Drosophila melanogaster: one gene and its partner. The protein of the gene in region 2 interacts with the protein of the main gene of each other region in a pairwise test. Each region holds a gene or a part of one and is shown on either strand. Other genes may lie near its edges.

Evidence for each region.
Region 1: the proteins of Flad1 (region 2) and HP1e interact in a two-hybrid assay, tested with the Drosophila melanogaster proteins (one large-scale study listed by BioGRID).

What each region holds. Positions count from the first base shown.
Region 1 is NT_033777.3:9,319,877-9,322,941, reverse strand, and holds HP1e (heterochromatin protein 1e), read right to left. Parts: upstream 1,173-3,065; 5' UTR 1,117-1,172; coding exon 592-1,116; 3' UTR 581-591; downstream 1-580.
Region 2 is NC_004354.4:12,900,755-12,905,257, forward strand, and holds Flad1 (flavin adenine dinucleotide synthetase 1), read right to left. Parts: upstream 2,763-4,503; 5' UTR 2,587-2,762; coding exon 2,575-2,586; intron 2,409-2,574; exon of another isoform or gene 2,324-2,408; intron 2,213-2,323; coding exon 1,562-2,212; intron 1,098-1,561; coding exon 792-1,097; 3' UTR 599-791; downstream 1-598. Other genes in the region: Coq8 (coenzyme Q8), read right to left, coding at 1-201; CG4404 (uncharacterized protein), read right to left, coding at 3,523-4,280.

The DNA of each region.
Region 1 (3,065 bases), on a different chromosome or scaffold from region 2:
ATATCGAAGAGCAATTGATTGGAGTTGAACTTGCTCGACCGGATATTGCAGTATCAATTCTCGGCAAAAGTGCAGAAGGCTTAAACGAAACCTTTTTGCTGCTATTGTGGCTACGTGCCCACTGGACGCAACTGGGTAGCACCAGAGCCCCCCCCCCCCCCCTCCAAAAAAAAGGACCCAAGTGACGAAAAACAAACACGAATATATAGGGCAAAAGTACGTCCGGCCACCACGCCCCATCAGCCAAAAACAGAGAATAGGTCTTACGACTTTTGGTACTTGCGATGAGACAAGGGAATGGCCACAAAAACGGAATGCAAATATTTTCGCTTCATTTTGGCCGTCGTACATTCCTGGCCCTTGTTTGCCGGCACTGTTGTTGCAATTAAGAGTGTTTACGCTGCCTGTCGGGCAAACACGCCCCAAAAATCACTTAAAACTTGGCATTTTGCCTTCATTATTGTTTGTAATGCTGTGCAAAGGGACACCTTTTATTATAAAAAGTAAAGCAATTTAACCTAACATATAAAATATAAGAAGCTCACACACATATTCATAAGTTTTTTTTTTTTGAAGATCCAGAATTGCAAGTCATGATATATAATTATTTAAATAATCGTGAAAATTGCAATGATTTTCATAGAATTTCAGAACCATCTGCGGTATTTCCACATATGCAATTCCACTTGGCACCACTTGTGGTTGATCGAGATGCCAAAACCTAATTAAAAACGATATTTCACCATTGTTTTTAGCGCCTTTTAGAATCTCTTGTGCAGTGAAACCATGATTAAAAGGACTATCTACTACTAGACATGGATCGATTTTCAGTCGTTTAGCTTTAGTTTCATATTGATTATTCAGCTCTTGACCCCTCTTCAGACTTTTTTGTGATTCAATCGAATCAATAAGTGAATGGCAATCGAGATCTGCTGCCGATTCCCAGGTATTATCTTCATCGCTATAATCCAGCCATTTGACCAAGTATTGTAATTGGCCCATATAATGCCTTCGATCCAAAATCCTCTCTACAATATACTCCTCAGTTTCTTCAAAATCCGTCGAATTTTCAGAGAAATTCGAAACGGTCTCGCCACCATCGGCATCTGAATCCATTTTATATTTTTAAATGTTCAAATAGTATTTTTTTGATGAGTTTTGACAGCAATGTCAGAGCGAAAAACATTTTCGTAACTTTTTATCTACAGTTGCTACTCAACAAAACGTAGTTTTCTGTGCAGACAAGTTTTCTTTTAAATGCTGGTCTACTTTAATATCTTCTTGCCAAAAGAAATAAAATTATGAAAAATATTGTAATGAATTCGTTTAATATCCTGAAGTAGAAAAGTTAGCCATATACTTAATGCCCACAGCTTAGGAAATGCGGCATTAATAATACCAAATTCAATAGCAGAAAGTGAATAAAATTGTTTGCCGGAAATCTATTAGAGATCCCTGGATGCTGGGTAAGTCCTTTCGAACAACAATAAGAATAAGATGAGCCGTCAAAAGGAAAAACTGCGGAAAATATCGTAAAAAATTATGCGTAAACTTGGCGAAAAGTTTGAAATACTCGTAGAACAAAGTTTTTTTCAGTTTGGTTTCGTGTATCACGTTGTTTAATGAACAAAATCTTTTGCCTTTCAAGGCAAACTTTGCAGGCCACAGAAATCGTTGATGAATCACTTGACAATAAATTGGGGAATATGCTTTAAAAATTTGAAAGGTGTAACAACTAGTTATTTTTCTTATTTATCCTTCATTGAAAAACATAAGTTTATGGCTTCCCTCGAAGTCAGTTCCACATTTTATGGCTTTCTTTTGTAGAATGAAGGCGCCACGTACCTGATATTAAATCGGCAAAGTTTTATTACCCGAAATTAAAAGCTCGATTATGCGCGATGACGTGGGACAGATTTGTGGGATTGGGTCGCTTGGTTTGAATACTTTTTAGAGGCCAGCATTTACATGCGAATGTGGCAATCAAACTGTGCAGTGAGTGCTACGTGGCCGGAATAAATCAGGCGACTTATGAAGTAGGATGGAGTTGGAGATTCACGGCAAATACATACATAAAATGTGCGCCTTCGTCAACTGCAGTACAGTGAAGATTCGAAAATCGAAATGGAGTGGAGGGGTGGTCAAGAAACGTGAGGTGCGGTTGTTTACTGAAGCCGTAAATGGGGGGCCGGGCAATTTCCGTGCGGCGAGTTGTGAAATCAGCGTCAAATCGGAAGCACAGGAAGTGGAGAGGTGAGCAGTCGGCGCAAAAGTCAATGTGACTGCCTATGCCATCACTTCCGGCAAATATTGATTGCAGGGGGTGGTGCCTAGAATGGCTAAAAGCCATTTCTGCCTGGGTAAATTCAATGTAATTGATAAGCGAACTCTGCCGGCAGATAGGCGGCAATGAGCATAGTGTCCTGGCACACAGATACCCCATATATGTATGAGCAAACATACTGGCACACAGACACACTAGCAAAAGACACTCAATTAAGAAAACAATGGCGGCTCGGTTTGTGCGGCAATTGAGTTTTTCCTTTTTGCCATCTGCGTTGGCCGTCTTTGTTTAGCTTTCGGCTTTTCCTCTTACCCCGTTCCCAATTTGCCAGTAAGACGCTTAGTCTTGCCACAAGCCCATCGCAAAATGCTCTCTCAGTATTCTCGTATTTGACTAGTACTGCGATATCTTTGCCTTTTAGCCAACTTGAGTTTCTTGGGTTTTTGGCCCCATTCTACTCCTTTATTCCTATCGCACGCTCATTAGCCGCTGTCTTCGAGCCAATTTTACTGTCACTTTTTGCCTCCAGTGCTGGCTGTAGTTCCTTTGTTCGGATTCCTCGCTTGACTTAACACACTTTGGGCTAATTTCCAGTTTTATTTGATCATCATTATAATTATTGTGTGCTTGTTTTTGACAGTATTACGGTCATAATTTTTTTTTTTTTTTTTTTTTTGAGACCAATATTTGATGTTTTTATTATTTGATCAACGCACTGTTACCCATGCGGCAACTTAATTTGATCTGCTTAAATTATTTTATTTTACAATGTGTCTTGGTT
Region 2 (4,503 bases):
TTTTTTCAGCTCCTCGGTGGGATTTTGACTGGAACTTCTCACCAGCTGCTGTGTGTGCGCCACATTCTCGGCGATTAGCTCACGAATGCTTGAATTGCTCCACAGATGACGACCGTGGGCGAGATGCTCGCGCCCACACGCCTCCAACAAGATCCGCAGTCCCCGCAGCAGCGCCGCAGCTTCTTGTGCGGATCGCGACATCGCGGAGCGAGGAAATACTGGTTTATTGTGCACTGCTCTCGCGTGGGTGATTCGCTGGTGATGATCGGCGCGTAGGATTACGTAAATCTCGTAAAAATATCACAGCAAAAAAAGTTCAAAGAATCGCGTAATGTTGTGAAAATGCGGCGAAAATCAGCTGGCAAAACAGCTGACTGGCCATCTAGTGCTGCCATGCTGGCGTTTTAACAGTGGCACCATGGCATCTTGAGCTTTTTCTAGCTTTTAAAAGCCAGCTTGCTGCAGCACTAGATTTTGCACTGAAGCCAGTGCTGTTTCTTTGGCTCTTTTAGCTTGCTTCAGCTTTTATGCAAAATTAGAAAGAAACATTCAACAACTAAACAACTAAAAATTTAAATACTCCATAAAAACTAGGAATACTGCTTAAGTGGCCTGCTAACAGAGGCCACATTTATTCAGCGGCATACCTTAGGTCGTACAAAATTTTACTAAATTAAGTTTGTTTACCGAAATCCAGATCACACGTTAATATATATACACAGCTATATAAAGTTTCGTGACTAACTGGAGTTTAAGCTATTCAATTACACTATAGCCACGCAAATGGAATCCTACTTCCTGGGCAGGCGACCAGCACGCTCCATGGTGGCATCCTGGAGCTCCCAGGCGGGCCGATAGCCACCCAGATCGCAGGAGCAGACGGCATCGGAATTAGAACCACATTCACACTCGGCATCGGTGCGTCGGAGGTGCGGATTAGGCACTGTGTTCGCACGATTCCCGATCGAGGTGTAGCCCCGATCGTACAGGCTGCAATAGGGCACCGAGTTCAAGTGGATGTAGTGCCAGACGTCGTGGTAGCTCCACTCCAGCAGCGGATTCAGGCGCATCATCGGCGGCCAGTCGTTGTCCGTGGGCTAAAAAAAAAATCGAAATTAGCATCACTAGGCACTTGGGGTTTCCTAATAGGAAACAGCAGTTTCGAACTTTCCAAAACTATTTCAAGCTAGCTTCATTATTATCTTTGTGATCTTGTGAGATTTTCAAATAAGCGGGATACATTTGGTTTTGTAAAATACTCGAATAAATTCTATGTTAGGTGGTGAACCACAGAACTCGCTTATCTGCGGAATGGAATCATGACATTCGAAAATGCCACTGTCACTGTGATATTGGCAAAGGGCACATACTTTTCTAGATTAACAATGGCATAATTTTGATACTAAGGCTGTGACTTTGATAACTTGGCTTTATAATCAATCTACTACTCTTGAGAAAGAAACTTTTCTTCACACTTGAACCTACGAACTCCTGAGCATTTCAGTGCAAAACATTTAAATATGATTTATCTCCTGATTGCTATATTCCTAACCAGCTTCACCTGCATGGGCGCCAGATGCTGGCAGTAGGGATCCGTGTTGCGGCTGCCCACGAAGACGGCCTTGATCCGCGGCATGTCCGACGACATGTGGGTGAGTGCCTCCTTGAGCGTACCCTCGTACTGAACCAACTGGACGCGGTAGTTGCGTACGCAACGCTCGACGAACTCATCGATTTCCGGAAACGAATCGCCGGATTTAATGTACAGCATGGGAATGTCGCCGCTGGAGATGTTCTCCTGGCGCAGGTAACGCATAAGGAGATCGAGCAGCACGGTGCAATCCTTGCCGCCGTTGAAACAGAAAATTAGCTCCTCGACGCCGTAGATTTGCAGGGTTTCGGCGAAGAAGGCGAACGCTTTATTTTGCCGCTCCTCAATGGCCAGTCGATCCTCGGCTGTTAGTTCCATTGGATTTGATATATCCTGTCCCTTTGCCACATCCTTGGAGTTCTCCGAACGATCCGACATGCTCCGTTTCTCTAGAAACAAATGCTTTTTGCTAATGCTCTTTGCGCATAGAATGCTGTTGTTCGCTGTAATGTTTGTGATGTTTGTGATGTTCTTCCGGCATTCGTTCATGGTGCTCAGTGGGCGTAATGTTTGTGGGAGGCGTGGCCGTGCCCTGGCTAGCAAAAACGATGACGTCACACGCTGTTAAAGTCAAAAGAGCAACTATTAGCACTCAATAAATAAAACATAAAAAAAACTTTCGCCGAAAAATATCTTTTTTTTGCGTGTGTGTGTGTGTGTGTAAGTATTTACTTTATGTAATTTTCTAGGCCCATAAACAAACTTTAACTGTGCGATGAGCGTGGTAAATGCTTCGGCGGTTGACGTGCGAGTGAGTTGGCTTATTTGTGGCCAGCCAAAAATTACATCACTTTCGTATCGGAAAAGTCAGCAAAAACAAAAAAAAAGTGATATAAAGCCAAAACCTCAGGCCCTCACACGCACACGCACACACACGCATGCAGGCCAAACACATGGCGCACGCACACACGCGCATAGCTCACCCAATAGCTCATGTGTTTCGTTGCTGCATCGACTGTTTACTGGCGCACATTTAACTGATGAGTTACGGCGACAGCAATGCAATTATTCCATTTTGTTAATTGTTATTCCGCGCCAGTGATTTTCCTTCCTTTTTTCGTCTTTTTAGTGCAACAACAAGCGAACGGCGACAACAACAACAACAAAGCCAGGAAGCTTTGCGTACTATCGGTGCATCAGCTGTGCGCTGAATCTATCGATTGCACTCGATTAAGGCGGTTGGCTAGCTAGAAATTCAAAAAAAAAGCTAGAAATTTATACATTAAATAATTTTGAAAGTTTCGTTTTGATTTTAATCCGCAATTTCGCATATCGCCAGCAAATGCGACATATATACGCAAATTTTGTTTCTGTTCCGTCTGAAGTAAAATAAAATGTTCGTAGTTTAAATGTTTTATTCGACAATAACAAATTCGTGTTTGTGTGTGTGCTTAACAACAACAATAAAAAGCGTAATTAAAGTACGCTCTACACATCTAATAAATGGGCACTGTTGGCGTTTTCTATCAACTGGGTGTGTTTTCTTCGATTCTTGTGGCTTTTTTTCTTCACGGAGAGAAAATATCACATAACTGGTGATTTCATCCTGTTCCACTGGGCGCTTTACAAATTTCGATGCAGTGCATATAAACTTCGATATAAATTTCATGTACGTTCACACTTAACTTAGACATAAATATTTAAAAACTAAGTTCATTGTCTAAAAGTTAGCAATATGATGGCCAGAATGAAATCTGAAAGTGGTGAAAATGTTGGTTTTGAAATAATGTTGCATTTGGTATGTAGAATATTTCCGCACAATCATTCAAAATATGCATCTCTTGTGTGTGGTAATTTTGATAGAGCCGTTTACAAATCGTAATTTTCATCGCTGAAACGTAAGCATCTTCGGTTTTTTTTCCGTGTACAAATTAGACATCCTTGTTATCCAGAATATCGTCGATGAGTCCGACGACCTTCTGTCGAAACTTTCGATTCTGCTTGCCGTTCATCTCCTTGATGTACGGATGCAGGCTGATCAGAAAGGAGTAGTCGGCATCCGGTTGTGAGCCACCTCCTCCTGGTCCGCCAGTGAAAACACTTAGAGCTGACGTAGCCGGCTGCGGCGGCGGTGGTGGTGATGTTGGTGTTGTTGTTGTTGTGGTTAACTTGTGATGACCGCTGCCATGTCCCTTGAACCACTGCGTCAGATCCGACCAGCCCAGGTGATTGCCCAGCGCGGCGGCGGGCACCGAGACCAGCGACTGCTGGCTCACCATCCGCTCCAGCTGCTGGTTCGCATTTGACGAATCGTGCTCCACTTTGATGGAATGCAGGCGGAGCGGCAAACAGGCGGTGGGTTGCTCCCGATCCTGTTCCTGATTACGACGATGCTCCTCCTCGGACACCTGAACGTCCAGCGGCATCTCACCATCGCTCACCTTGGCCTCCTCCTCCGCCGCCACCACCTCATCTTCCTGCTGAGCAGTGGCAGCTTGGCCGGGTTTGCGGAGCACCATGCCCGGCAGCTGCTTGTGGCAGGATCGCGACTTGGTGAACGGAACGAGAAACTGAAGATACTTCGATAGGTAGTATTTGCGCTTGCCGCGTCCCGTTTGTGTGCGTGCCAGCTTCAGGGATCGCAGGAAGCTGCTCCTTATGGTGCGCCATCGCTCGCGACAGTTGCGAACTGCAGGAGAAACAAAACACATCTTTTACAGTACAAATTTCTACGGTACAAATTGAAACTTGTTCACCAAAAGGTAACCACAGTACTGAGTTGATTTGCACATCAAACTCAATTCTTGGATTTATACTTGTTTGTAACATGGAATATTTTGTAGTTTAAATACTTTTATTTTGTATTTATTTTGAATTTATTATGGGAATTTAGTTGTACGAATAGTACTTGG